Linked DNA regions of Lepisosteus oculatus. Each later gene encodes a partner of the first gene's protein in a complex. Links are inferred from orthologs where the notes say so. Each region holds a gene or a part of one and is shown on either strand. Other genes may lie near its edges.

What was found. The genes of interacting proteins can lie anywhere in the genome.
Region 2: the proteins of yap1 (region 1) and smad1 are in contact, whole or in part, in an NMR structure (PDB 2LAW), measured with the Homo sapiens proteins. The link is inferred for Lepisosteus oculatus from reciprocal best matches to the Homo sapiens genes YAP1 and SMAD1. Residues at the interface, in NP_001123617.1 of Homo sapiens: Glu237, Ala239, Met240, Thr241, Tyr247, Ile249, Asn250, His251, Lys254, Thr255, Thr256, Trp258; in NP_001003688.1 of Homo sapiens: Thr222, Pro223, Pro224, Pro225, Ala226, Tyr227, Leu228, Pro229, Pro230, Glu231, Asp232, Pro233.

What each region holds. Positions count from the first base shown.
Region 1 is NC_090700.1:8,374,498-8,381,608, forward strand, and holds the start of yap1 (transcriptional coactivator YAP1), read left to right. Parts: upstream 1-4,003; 5' UTR 4,004-4,203; exon of another isoform or gene 4,204-4,572; 5' UTR 4,573-4,593; coding exon 4,594-4,794; intron 4,795-6,475; coding exon 6,476-6,708; intron 6,709-7,111. Other genes in the region: cfap300 (cilia- and flagella-associated protein 300), read left to right, coding at 3-69, 727-876. UniProt on the Homo sapiens protein: Transcriptional regulator with dual roles as a coactivator and corepressor. Critical downstream regulatory target in the Hippo signaling pathway, crucial for organ size control and tumor suppression by restricting proliferation and promoting apoptosis.
Region 2 is NC_090696.1:27,166,591-27,173,783, reverse strand, and holds the start of smad1 (mothers against decapentaplegic homolog 1), read left to right. Parts: upstream 1-4,147; 5' UTR 4,148-4,396; intron 4,397-6,490; exon of another isoform or gene 6,491-6,527; intron 6,528-7,193. UniProt on the Homo sapiens protein: Transcriptional modulator that plays a role in various cellular processes, including embryonic development, cell differentiation, and tissue homeostasis.

The DNA of each region.
Region 1 (7,111 bases):
AGTGTTCAAAAAGACCCTGAAATGAAAGAAATCCTTGTCACCTCTACTGTATTGAAAGTCTCTGCTTATGTAAGTACATTTTTTTTTCTTATGGTGTTGTTACTTTATAATAGTGAAGTGACAAATTACAAATTTTAAACCACAGAGACATTATCTTCCATTTTCTTAATATAGTTGATCCCAAAAACGTTATACCAATTGTATTCTCCACTACAAAGTTCCTTCAATTTGGTAAATATTTGAGACAGAATGAGACAATACTGTATTTCTGTATGTATTGTTGAACACTCTGGGTGTTTCTGTATAAGGGGGTATAAAAGTGGTATAGTCTTTTTACATAGACTAAATATCTGAAATTCTGACTATATGTAACAGTTTTCATTTAACAGAAAGCTATGGATTTATACAGTATTTTGAAAGATTATTGTTAATTCATAAATTGCATAACATTCTGTCTTTCTAGGATGTTGAAAGTGGATTTAATAATTTTATATTTACGGATACACTAAAAAAGAAGACAAATGGCACCAAAGACTTCTTTAAAGAGCATATCCTAAAACATTTGCCTAAGACATATTCCTACTTATATGCATTGCCATTTTTTAATATTATTATTTCTCATTCATAACTTCTTTTTCTAAAAGTTTACAGGACCTCTTATCCTAAAGGAAACAAATACAAAAATGAAGTGAGCATTTTACCAAGTGTTCTTTTAAATGTCCGCAGGATGACTCTGGCTTGTGTTATCCTTCATGCAAAGATGAAGAACAGACCTTCGCCTACTTCATTGTTGACCCTTTCAAGCGCCATGTATATGTCCTGTACCATTGCTTCGGAGTTGGATTATTTTCAGTGCCTGAGAAAGAAGCAAAATAAAAGGGTTTAAAAGTTCAACATTAACATTCTGGTTTGTTTTCTTGATTACAGTAATACGGATATGCTTTAGACTTCTGTATTAATGTCATTATTTTACTTCAGTACTGTAGGGGCACAAGAATATCCGTAGCTCAAGAGGATAGGGATATTTAATGTAAAGAAGTTTCTTAACTTTCAAAAAAAGCGCAGCAGTGTACACTAGCTGTTGACACCTGTTGAATGTGTTTAAGAAAAGTCAATATGAAAATCTATGTTCACAGAGTTAGTTGAGTATAGACCTTAACTAAGCTTTTACTGTGTTTAGTCCTCTGGTTCATTTTGCTTTTGACTGTACGGAAGTCTGTTGGGTCGACTTTGACTAGAATGTATCTGTTCACTGTTTCCTAGACTGGACCAAGAACACAAAGCTGTACTTAATATTCTGTGTATACTGGTTTTACCAATGCATCCTTTGATTAAAATTACATATCACAACATTTTGTTATATATCTATAAAGTCATTTTCAGCTTCTTCAAGCTTAGTGTTTGCCAACTTATGTTTATAATTAATGTTTCTGCTATCTCCGTTTATCCCTCTGCACTTCACTACATTAAATGTCATCAGGTGATTGCCCAGTCTTCATTTTTGTCTGTCATTTGTTTTTCATCTTATACAGCGTTTGCTAATCCTCCTGTTTTGGTATTGGTTTACACTAGTCAAATATGACTAGTTTTCTTACTGTGCCATCAACTAAATCAATGTTACAAATTAAGCAGAATGAGGTCCTAATACAGGCCTTGTGCTGTAGTACTCCCCTAATTACTTCACATCAGTTTGAATCCTTATCTCTGAATGCGTAGTACCTTTAAGAATTATGAGGAACTTTATCAAAAGTCTGTGCTATTATTGCTTGTTTAAAGAAACTGAATAAGTTAGCTCACACCTGAAGAAGGCTCCACGGCCAAAACGTTGTGTTTTCTTTCTTCTCTTTTCAGCATGGAATAAACCTATTACTTGTTCCATTAAACAAGATAGTTTAGCAAGATTAAATCAATGTCGACTATCCTCTAGAATCCCACTGACACCTAAAATATATACAGTACATAAATATGAAAGATCTGTAGTAATTAAATAAACATAAAACATTTTTAACTTTAGTCTCTTCAATAGTCTTTATGGAATGGTAAACTAAAAGAAAGTATGCCTCAACGGTCCTTTGCTCACATAAAACAAACGGGGTGTAAAATAAAAGTGGTCTCCAGTTTGAGCAAAAGTGGAATTGCAGGTTCAGCTCAAGCTCGTGATGGCATGACAGATTAACTGTTGCCTTTTGCCTTTTGATAAAGCAGTATTGCTCCTCACAAAAGCAGCATGAATATAAAACAATTGTAAGAAGATTTGAGATGAGAAGCTAAAGGCCATAAGAGCATGGAAGCTAAAACTACCCTCAGGCCCCCTAAGTGGGTGGTCCCTTCAGGGCAGGGCAGAGGCACATGAGGAAAAACACTTTGTGATGGCTGTACCTGTTTTTTTTTACAGACAGAAGCCTCCAGTTTACAATGTGGGCCCTTTTATTACTCTTTCGGATGGCATTCATAATCCCTGACCATTTAAGAGCACACATTTTCCAATCGGCCAAAAGAAAAGTGTTTCCTCCCAATGACTGACCTTCAGTAAAAGGTTGTAATAGTGAAAATATCCTTTTCATATGTTTTAAAAATAAATAAAGGACACTTTGAAAAATATAACCTACATGATTAATATAATTCAAAGTGCAAAATAATGATCTATAATTTTATCTCTTTTAATAAACAATCAGTATGGTTTGAAAAGGGTATTGCAGGTAAAGTAAAAACAAGACATTAATGGATCCACAAAAACTCTGAACACAACAAAAATCAAATATAAGCTCAGAGAAAAATGTTTTATTTTCTAAAACAACAACATTGCCAGTGTAAAGACAAGTGTTGAATCCTCCACATGAATTTTCATTTGAACGTAAAATAGAAATTTGTCATATGTTTTATGTGTAAAAAGTTAAACTTCAGATATGTGGGCTGTTTCTCATAACAGACGTGTATATATTTTAAAATGACAGCATATGTAAACTTAAGTATTGGGACTGTGTTAAAAGGGAAGATGCAAAGTAACCTTTTGAAACCATTGTTCATGGTTTTACAGTCTCTGAAAGAGGATTAATAAAGATCCATAATCATTCAGTGCCTTGGTGTATGGGAAAGGGGCAGAAACACAGTTCCTATACATCACTGAGGCGGATTCTTGACAAAATGATTTCTCAATAGAATGAAGAGGATGATTTGCATAACAATTATGGGAACCTTGTAGAAATGGCTTTCATTGGCACTGTAGAGGAAAAACATTATTTCTTAATAAAGAGCCTATATTTTACAATCACGGTTCTGTTTTAATGTGAGATAAATTGGATTAATATTTACTGAGAACCATTCTCTAGAGAAATATATTTATTCTCTTCAAAATCAGGATACAATTTACCGTTTTCTTCACATACTTTAAAGCCTTTAAAAAAAACAGAATATTTAGATAGTTGTTTAGAGAATATATTGAGAATTGTACAGCGGAAAAGGACAGTTAAATTAATTTTAAGTTAAATTAATTTTAAGAATGTAGAACTAGAGAGCAACAACAGAATTGTGTCCTAAAACAAAGTATCAATTGGCATTTAGTTATTATTATCATCATAATTTATGCTGGCAATCGTGTCACTGGTAGAACAGTAGGAGTCAACAGCATCGAGATAGACTGGGAATTTAACATGTAATTAAATGTTTATTAATTCACCTTAGGTTTTTTAGTTGACAAAATCTACATTCTAAGTCTACATTTTCTAAAAGGTACTCAAATTAAATGAACCAACTTTGTACAGTAAATAAAATATGTAGAAGTAGTGTTATTCGTACTAATATTCCGAAATGAGAAAAAAAAACAATTAAGGATTCAATATTTATTGCGTGTCGAAGATGCTATTTTCTAAGCGCCCCTGGATTCAGGTTTTACCTAGGGAGAAAGTTATCCCACATAAAAAGGGATGTTGCGTCTTTAAACTCCCCACTCTCCCTGATTAATGATGCCAAGCTCCGCCTGCTTCTGACTCAGCGATCACATGAGTCATAAAAGTTTGATGTCCCAGCCAAAGTTTCGGACGAAGTTTAGGAAAACTTAGTAGTTTTGGAAAGGCAGTGATTTGCGATGAGCGGCTCGGCGGTTCGTTTTCGCTGGGGGAAATATAAACCAACCCTCTGAGATTTAGAAGTAACCTAAGTAAAACGGTCTGTAACTTTTGTTTACAGGAGGCAGTCGGTGTTGAGGTATGTTTTAGATTATTGACGATCAACAAGTTTTACATTTATAAGCCGACCCGACTGTAACGGCTGCCTTGGACTGGAAACTGGCTGGACGTCGTTGTGACTTTACTCGGCGTCCTTTCTCGGCTGCAAAGTGAAACAAAAAGAACTTATTCGGGAGAAAAAGAAACATTAAATAACACGCGAGAATACAAGAATAAAATACAACGGAGGAATTGGAATAGCTTTTTGGAATAAGCTTTGCAGAGTCTATATGATCCGGGTACTCATTGCAACACTTGGGCTTTCCATGTTTTTGGATTGATTTCTTTTCTTTTTTTGGGGGGTTACCCCACTTCGGGCACCTAAGGTTTTTTTTTTTGTTGTTGTTAGTTGTTGTTGTGTTTGGGAAGGATGGATCCAAGCCAGCACAACCCCCCCGCCGGCCAGCCGATCGTCCATGTTCGGGGCGACTCGGAGACGGACCTGGAAGCGCTGTTCAACGCCGTCATGAACCCGAAAAGTGCCAACGTGCCCCCGTCAGTCCCCATGAGGCTGAGGAAACTTCCCGACTCCTTCTTCAAACAGCCCGAGCCAAAGTCGCACTCTAGACAAGTAAGATTTCCCTCTCTTCCCCCACCAACCCCCCTCCGTCTCCCTGCCCCCCTCTCTTTCCTTGTAGTCCAAAAGTTCAGGCTGAAGTGTGCTGGCATTTCAAAGGCTTTTTATCTGGACCAGAAGCGGATGGGAGTTTTTTTCTTTATATATTTTAACAAATTCCTGATGCGTTATGTAGTTTGTGAGCAGAGGTCGCCATGCTTAGGGCTTGTTTGTTTTTTTCTGCAGAGTCCGGGCAGCGCCTCGGTTTTATTTAAGCATGCCGACCTCCTAATACGTGGTGCGTATCCGATATTTGTAGCTCGGATGGCTCGCTACGTACAAGTTGGTACCCACGTAATAATTTTCACTCCTGCAAGAAGGAGGATTGCCGGGAGTGGGGTGGGTGGAGAAAACCCTGATAAATGTAATCCATTTCACAAGCAGAAATTGTTAGAGCTGGTATTTTTAAAAACAACAACAAAAAAAACATCTTTCAAGTAAAAATATTATTAAAAACAAATATTTTGGGATAACAAATGGGGCTGACTTCGGGCAGCTTTGATTTGTACCGGATCATGTCGAGTAAGAGAGAGCCTACCTTTTAACTTTAATGGAAAACAGACTGTCATAACAAGTCGTGGGCCGTATTTTGACTTCGCCTAAAGGTTTGGAATACATCATCCAAGCCGGGCTTCGGTGTGTGTGGTGCTCGCACACACAACCCGGGGAAGATTAAAGCGCATAAATCAAGGAAGGCCTCTATTTCTGCTCTGACTGAGCTCTCTGGGGGGGGGGGTATATTCCTGTAGGCTCCTAAGAGATTGAGTAAGGGGATACTCGTCTGTTGTACGTTTAAAGACAACGGTGTCTGAAATGCTCTTTCATGCCACAAGCTTAAAAAATAACCTTTAGGTCTCAGTTTTTTTTAAATTAAAGCTTTGTAAATAACGGTAGCTGCTAGGTTTTCGTGTTTAAAAAAAAAAGTGTTACTGACGCATTTCGTATGAATTGCCCCTTAGAATCACACCTTGTTTAATCTTCGCGACTCCCCGCTGAGTCAGTTTCTTTATTTTAATGCTTCGACACTACTGGTTTGATATACACTGGGATCTCGCAGTCTTGTCAAGTGCGCTGCCCTGACTCTTCAGTGTGAGTCACTGATTTGAAGGGAATGGTGGAACAGTGCACACAGCCTTGGGCCACAACTTTCTGTATCCACATCACCCACTGCTTGCAAAGTTCTTCACAAGTTCATTCTTGCTTTCCGTGTCGTGGAAGGTTGGCTTTCACAATGGGGAAACCTTGTATACAAAAATCTGATCTGTTTGAGTTGTTAATGGGGAAACCTTGACTACATAATCAGACAGGAATCGGGAGTTCATGTGATATTCGGTTTCTCTCACATTTAAAGTGAAATGCAATTCGTGTGTGCGAGTACATCTTAAAAGTACTTGTGTAATAGGTCATTTGTGAACCTGTATTCCACTGGAATTATGACCAAGGTCGTGGTATAATGACCTGCTCCCAGCTTTTAAAGCTTGCAAGTGTTAACGCGTCTTGCCAACCCCAAAATGATGAAATTTAATTCAGTTCTGTGAAATGGGAATGAGGTGTTGAAAGTTGCAATTATCCCTTGCCTCCCTCCCCTCCCAAACTGTCATTCATCCCTTCCCCTGTGCTTCTCCTTCCTGTCCAGGCCAGCACGGACGCAGGCACAGCTGGGACGTTGGCACCGCAGCACGTCCGAGCGCACTCCTCGCCCGCCTCGCTGCTGAACGCCGTGTCTCCCGGCTCCCTGGCAGGGGTGATCCCGCCCGGGGCGCCCCCGCAGCACCTCCGCCAGGCCTCCTACGAGATCCCCGACGATGTGCCTCTGCCCCCGGGCTGGGAGATGGCCAAGACCCCCTCTGGGCAGAGATACTTCCTCAAGTGAGTGTCGCCACAGCTCCTGATGCTTCTCCAGTCCAGTCCACTCCACCGCACCCCAGGGGCCCCCGTTCGGTTTGGTTTCCTTCAAGGTGCGGCCATTTCATAAATCGGCTATCCACCTTGAATCAGTGCAGCCCACTCCTTGTCAAGCCCGGCGCCACGGTCACTTCCTGTTTGTACAGGCAGGGCTCCCCACCCCCAACTAGATCTAGATAGAGTGTTGTCGTTTGATAGCACTTTTATTCACAAAGAAAAGTTGCGAGCTTTTAATCTGTGGGTACTTTTCAAAAAAAGGTTTGCTGAAGGTTGATCTTTTAGTAGAGCTTGGGAAAAATGCACTGTAATCGCAGCGGAAATTTCACTTAGTCTGCATGTTGTGCACTTAATGGGTTAGAGGTTGACC
Region 2 (7,193 bases), on another chromosome or scaffold:
GAGTATTCGGACATAGCGAGACGTCTTCGGGCATCACGACAGCCCGATAGTGCATAATACTATACGTCGAACATCGGTCTCTTAAGCGAAGTAGACCTGCACGTTTCTTTTATTCCTTAATGACAACAATACCGTTTTCATTTGTAATGTTGTGAAATGGTTTTGTTTTCACTGCCCCTTTGGATTTGAATACAACTGTAATTCTGCGGAACACAGCTAAAACGGTTTTTAATATCCAACATTTCCAGAAGGGAAAGTTGTGTCTAATTTGCTTTGTAAAAAACGTTTTCAATTTCCATCTCAAAACCCTTTGGATTTAAGGACGCTCAATGCTCTTGTTTTTTCAGACATTAGATGAGGTTTTCTTCTCTAGCCAGCACACCTGGTAGCCAAACGTTTGCAGCTGTACTGTACGTACAACACATATACTGTACACTGATAACAGAGACAGCAGCACCTCCAAACTAATGCAACAGAAGTTTTAATGCCGAGTTAAAAATGAGACTAATCTTTACATCACATTTCGGTGTCTTAGGGAGATCAAATAATGAGTAGAACAAGATATTTCAAATGGTACTGACCACACAGAGTCTACATCACCTTTTAAATAAAGCTACATGTGACTTCAGTCCACTTCTCCTTCAAACGAGCGCTCTGCTAGCAAAGCAGCTCTCTTCAGGATCCCCCCTCAAGCAGACCACAGTGGGCACCACTCATCCTCTGCAGACCACACAGCAGACGTCGAGTCTTCAGATGACGAAAAAGCTAGCGTTCACGGCTGGGTCCGGCTGGTGGAAGGGGGATTCAGCTTTTAGCTTGATGAATGGAGGCTTGGCTGAGGCAGGACTGGTGCACAGCTGTGTGGTTGGGAAGAAGAAACCAACCTTTGGGGCTATTCCTCTCTTCTTAAAATTGACATGGTTTTCCCCTGTCATACTTATATTGTACTACATTCCAATCTGCTCCCCAAACCTCTGGAATTCTATCCCCAAGGATATCAGAGTCACCTGCCCTGAGTGCGTCTCAGTCCAGACTCCAAACGTTTCTTTTCAGAAAGACTTTAACTTAATTAGTGTCTGTGTCTTCTCCATTTTCTAACTTCTGATGCACTTCTAAACTTTTTCTTTTACGTACTTATTTTGTGATTTGCTATCCTTAAAACGTTTTTTGCACCTACTGCGAAGGCGCTATATAAAGTTAAATTTTATTATTACTTGAAATACCACGGTACAATACTCAGGCTAAACAGACTGCTTGTTACAAGCGTCGTGGTTGTGCTAGTGGCTGAGCAGGGAACTTAATTTGCAGAGAGGAACTCGGATACCTATACTGTCCTGCTTGATCTCATGGTCAAAGTGGTCAAAGTTCACGTTCTGTCAGCTTTAAACATGTGGGTGTGAAAGCCTGCAGAAGATTTCGGTGAGCTGACAGCTTCATTAATTTCTTTAGTGGGCATTGAGAGTTCTGGGTTTTCACCTTGCTGTGGTGTCAGAAATTAACACTCATGAGTGCACTCAAACCTTTGCCATCTGCCATTATGGCATCTCTGCTTTCTTGGATGGCCTGCATCACAACATTAAAATCCCTCCATTTTACAGCGACACTATGCAGGTCATGTATGAGCTCGGGCCCTTCTGACACACAAACACTGGGCAAGATGTTGTGGAAAACCAAGACAGCAGCCCAGGGATGATGCTGCACAGCCTTTGGCTGTCTTGCTAACTGTTCTCTGTGGTTGTAGCTGCTTCTTGTCCCACTCGGCTTTAAAGAAGCTTATAGAGTATCTTACTAAAGAAAGCTACAGCCATAACAATCCCTACCACCGAGGCATTGAAAGAGTGCTTCAGATAGGGAATCAGATGGTGTTCTCAAGAGGTTCTCCTTCAGTACCAGCAGTATTAAACCCTTTATCAACCGAAGATTGAGTCTGGTGTCACTGTTGAACTGTGGGTAGGCTGTCTGAGGTCCACTACAAATCCCTGTGAGGCTACTGTTGCCTTTCTCCTCTTGCCTGGGAAACTTTCTGCTGCAGCTTTTCTCCCCCTCTGTCTGCTCTCGTTTCCTTACCACAGCTCCTATTCTTGCCTTATCATAGCAGTCAGAGACCTCCCTGACCCCAGCCTACGATCTGCAGCTTCTGGGAATGCCACATGGCATTGGCCCAGCATTGGAAATGACATTGCTTTTCCGAAATGTCTCAAAATATCTTCTAGTAATGCAACACTTCAGCGAGCAATACACACCTCGGAGCACAGAAAACTCTGGAAGTGCCAGTCATTCCCACAGCAGTCTCAATTACACAGAACATGATCTGCCCGTGGGCGGCATGGTGGAGCAGTGGCTAGTGCTGCTGCCTCACAGTGCCTCACAGTGCCTCACAGTGCCGGGGCCCAGGGATCAATTCTCAGCCTGGGGTGCTGTCTATGTGGAGTTTGTACGTTACTTATCTATAATAACTACTTAACATCGTTATCTGATAATATACTGTGTTCATGAAGCAAAATACGATCAAAAGTTTAATTGCAATGGGTCATTAGTGTTCTGTCTCCACAAAAGTTACAGTGAGAGAGCTATCAGTAACTGCATCATTGAGCAGTGCTTCGATTTGATGTCATTGATATCATTAATAGTAGACGTGATTGTAGCAGTCATTGTATCAAATATTAAAAGTACATTTTATTTTACATGTAAATGCCTAAAGGGCAGAGATAGGTTAAACTCAGGGGGCTACTTTTACTTAGTTCAGTTGTGAAACAAGGACATGGATACAAAATCAGAGGCTAAAAGGCTAAATTCATTTAGGGTGGACTGAGAAACAGTAAACACTTCCTTACACAAAGAGTTGTTAAAAGGTGGAAGAGGAATCCTAGACAGGGGCTGAGACACAAACTCAAGAAACAGCAGGATGAGATAACTGGATCAACTAGCTACCAACTACTAAATGGCCTGGATGACCTCTCTTGTTTGCAGATGTCCTAATGCTCCTAACGCTGCAGGCGTGAAGAACACAATTTGTTTTTAATTCAATGTTCTGTGCAATATTACCCATGTAATACAGAGATCAGAGGTAAAATGAAAGAATGGAGAAACGAGCACAGATTGATTTGGAACATGTTCCTCTTCAACAATTAAGTAAAATCTCAGATTAAGATTTCAGATTACGCTCAATTGAAACACGCAGGGCTTCACGTGTGAGCAGGAGAGCCTTTAAAATCCAGTCATTTCCGTGCGAGCCAGTTCTCTTCACAGAGGGCAGGAGCTACACTATGATCCGGAGTATCTTCAATTAGCACACACAAAATTCCCGATGCATTCAAACAGCTCTTTAATAGTTAGCCCAGGTTGGCAGGTCAGTGGTTTTATCTGACTGATTTTAACCAGTTTTAAAGAGAGCTATTCCTAAAACATTTCTAAGAGGTGCTTCAAATGCAAATGGTTGAACTGTCATTCCCACTTAAAACTTCCTTTGATTTTGGGGCTGACAGGCTGTGGCTGGAGACGTTCACCTTGGCACTATAGTAGGCCTCTGCTGTGTCTTCTGCCTCTTGAGAGATGTACTGTACATCTTGCTCAAATAACACACCAGTCAGCACTACCGACTTTTTCTTCCCCAAGACCAGACCAGATGTGTTTCACGCTGAAAGGAACATTGGTATTGAAGCCCGAATGTTGCGCCCTGTCCAACAATACATGCGTGACGGACAGAGTGTAAGATTATTTTTTTAAACGAATAATTCCAGGATGAATTAAGACGTGTCTGTCGGCGATTCTGCTTGTATTACATGCATAAAGTAGCTTCTAACCAGGCAAAAGTGTTCTATGTAGCACTGTACGGTATAGGATACCAGTTCACAGTATAATGCTCTTGTGAAAATATGCACTAGTAGCTACAGGACGTTTTCTAACTTCTGTTGAAAAGGTCGGCGCAATCGGACATTTTTTAACTGGCAAGAGATTCTCACTTGACAGCCAAGCGTCCTCCTCAAATCACCAAATGTCAGGGCGGCGAGTACCCCGTCCAGTTAATAAAAAGCCAGCTGCGAAGCACAACCAACCGCGTCTCCCAGTATTGCACAGCAACCGAGATCCTCTTCTTATTTGACACACGGAAGGCACGGGGGGAGTAGAGAGGACTCAATTTTCCCCGGTGAGCGGGGCGGGTTATTTTGAGACGGCCCCTAGCCGCGCAGCCCCGCGGCATGATACAGAGCGCGGCGCGGAGGGTGCGGTGGTCCTCGACTCGCTGACGCCAGGGACGCGAGATCAATCCAGGCAGCGGTGCGCGCGAGCTGCGCGGCGGCAGAAGTTTCGCTCTTCCCAGTGTCGGAGCTGAAGAGCCGCGGACGGGCGGCCGGTGGAGACGCGGAAAACTTTTCTCTCTCTTTTTTTGTTTAACGTGAGTGGCTTTGTTTTTTTTTTGGTGGATTCTGCTTTTTAGTTGGCTTTTAGATTTAACCCCTGTTAATAAATGTGTGTTTTTCGCTTGTCTCTCTCTGAAACGAGAGCTCGTACCTTTATTCTCAGGTTTGCCAGTAACTGCGTTTTAAACCCGTGTCATCCGTTTGTTTTGAAGTGCCGTTCGCCAGCCGACATGCTGCTTTTAAAATTGGTGTATTGGTACAGGGGCAGCGGTCGTGTGTTATTATGTGAAGTTGTCAGATGTTGAAATGTGTTGCCGTTAAAGGTTTAGTTTGCTGTATTTAGCGTGCTGGGGTCTGTATTAGACGACAGCCCGAAACGTTGTCACCCCCTTTTTCCTCGTTTGAAAACTGGAATTGAGTCTTTGGGTGATGTTTTTTTCGGTAGTTCTGTGGTATTCAAATGTGTGATTAGCTAGATTTTGTTAGCCAAGCTGATGAAAAGTTCATTCTAACTGTAAAAGGGTTAAGGGTGATTCTTCATTTGGATTGACACACGAGTTTCTCGGCTCATTAAAATCTTTCAGAACATTTTCAAAAAGTGTGTGTGTGGGGTGGGGTGACAATGCAGACAAGCAAATGAAGACTCCTATGAATGCTCTGTAGATTTAGTTTAGTGTAGTATGGACCTGTCAGAAGCGATGTCTGAACGTTTCCATTGTCGTCTTGGTGCCTTGACGTCATTACCCGGTCGGGATCCGGGCGAACTCGCCCTGTTTCCCGGAGCTCGAGTGGGCTCGGACGCGCTTCCAAGCGCTCGTGGACTTCGCGTGAAAGGGACACGGAGCCGCCGTCCGTGCAATTCGATGCCGTTTAAGATCGTTAAAAAACAAAACAAAACCCGGGCACTTGGAATTGGGGAAAAAAAAAAAGAAATCGCGAAGAGGAAAGGGCTTTGATCATCTCGCCCAGCCTGGGTGTGAGCGCAGGGGTCCCCGCTCCGGCACGAGACGCTTCGGGGATGCTCTTGGACGCACAAAGACCCGGGAACACATCTCGCTGTCTTCGGGGAGAGATCGGATGACCCAGAGGGCAGGCATTCGTCCTTGCGTTTGATTTGATTCTTTGCTGTACATCTTTGACGTCTGGGAGCGCTTTTTTTTTTTAGCGGCAGCTCTCTCTCTGTCGAGGAGTAAAAGCAAATCTGCAGGTACACTGTGGGGGGAAAAAGACTTGCAGACCCTTTTTATGTTTTCCAATAGTTCAGATACGTTCGCTGCATCATTTTAGCACCCCTTGAAGGATTAAATAACCATTGATTTTACGTTTTTCTGACTTCCCTTAAGTTTTTGTTTACCTGCGCGCTTTGCTGTATTCGCCCCTTTTCTATTAGGGTGATCTCTCTGGGTTGATGATGGTGATCAGTTGGAGTGATTTTCCAGATTGTTCCGGTTGAGTTTCTGGGGAGTGTGTGGGAAAGGCGGCCTGCAGGTGGTTTTGTGCCCAGATTGCGGAGTTCACGGCGGTGCTGTGGATTCTGAATGTCAACTCCGAAACCAGAGTGCAGAACCTTCCTACATACTGCGAACGTTTCTGCGTGCTCAAAAATGTTTCTCTTCAATTAAACTTTGTCATTAAACTTACACAGGTGCATAGTATAATGAAAAGTGTTTCTCATTAGTCACTCAGGTGCAGTATATAAATAGGACAGAAGATAAGACAATAGACAGTTACACAATAGCAATAACAGTAACATGTAATAACATAACATAAATAACATGTAATCAAAACTGTGCAAAATTCCGCAAACATAAAATCTAACAGGACAAAAACAGTGCAAGGTAATTTTTGGAACAGTGCAAAAATAGTATGGTTAATAATAGTATGGTTAATTAATAAATATTAAATATTATTATGACCGGTACAGTTTTACTGGGCTATCGAGGGGACAGTACAATTTCGGCTTACATGTGTGTGTAGTGGTGTAGGAGTACAGTGGTTGTGGGTACAGGAAGATGTTAGGAGAGATCATAATATGGTGGGAGGGAGTGGGGGCGTCACCAACTTGACAGCTCTGGGGAAGAAGCTATTTTGGAGTCTAGTTGTGTGCGACTGGATTGACCGGAACCTCCTGCCAGATGGTAGGGGAACAAACAAGTTATGACTGGGGTGAGTGGGGTCAGGCATAATTTTGGTGGCTTTTTACAGACTCCTGGTGTTGTAGATTTCCTGGATGAATGGTAAGACACTGCTGATGATGTGTTGGGCAGTTTTGACCACTCGCTGTAGTGCCTTACGGTCGGATGCGGTGCAGTTGCCGTACCAGACTGTGATGCAGCTGGTCAGTATGCTCTCCACCGTACATCTGTAGAAGTTGGTGAGGATCTGTGGATGTACAGCCGCTGTTGTGCCTTCTTGATGAGACTGGAGGTGTTCAGTGTCCATGTAAGGTCCTTAGAGATGTGAACACCTCTCTTTGATGTATGTGAAAAGGATTTCAGCCCTCATTCAGGAAGGTGTTAACCTTTAAGGTTTCACGTGCTCTGCCCCCTTTTTCGTTCACAGTCGACTCCTTTTTTCTGTGATTTTCGCAAAACTATACAACAATGCATCCATTACGATCTTGTGTATGTAGAATACTTTAAATAGCGTTTCATAAAGTTCCGTTTTTCTCTTGGCGTGCTGTAAAGGCAGTATCGCAATTGCTTACTTGTAAAAATAGGAATTTGTCGAAATTATCCGATACAGTCTTAACACCTCTCGAGGATAACCTCATTTTTTTTTCCTTTGGAAGAGATACTTCAAGATTTATTGCTGGTCTAAGACCAGATTCAG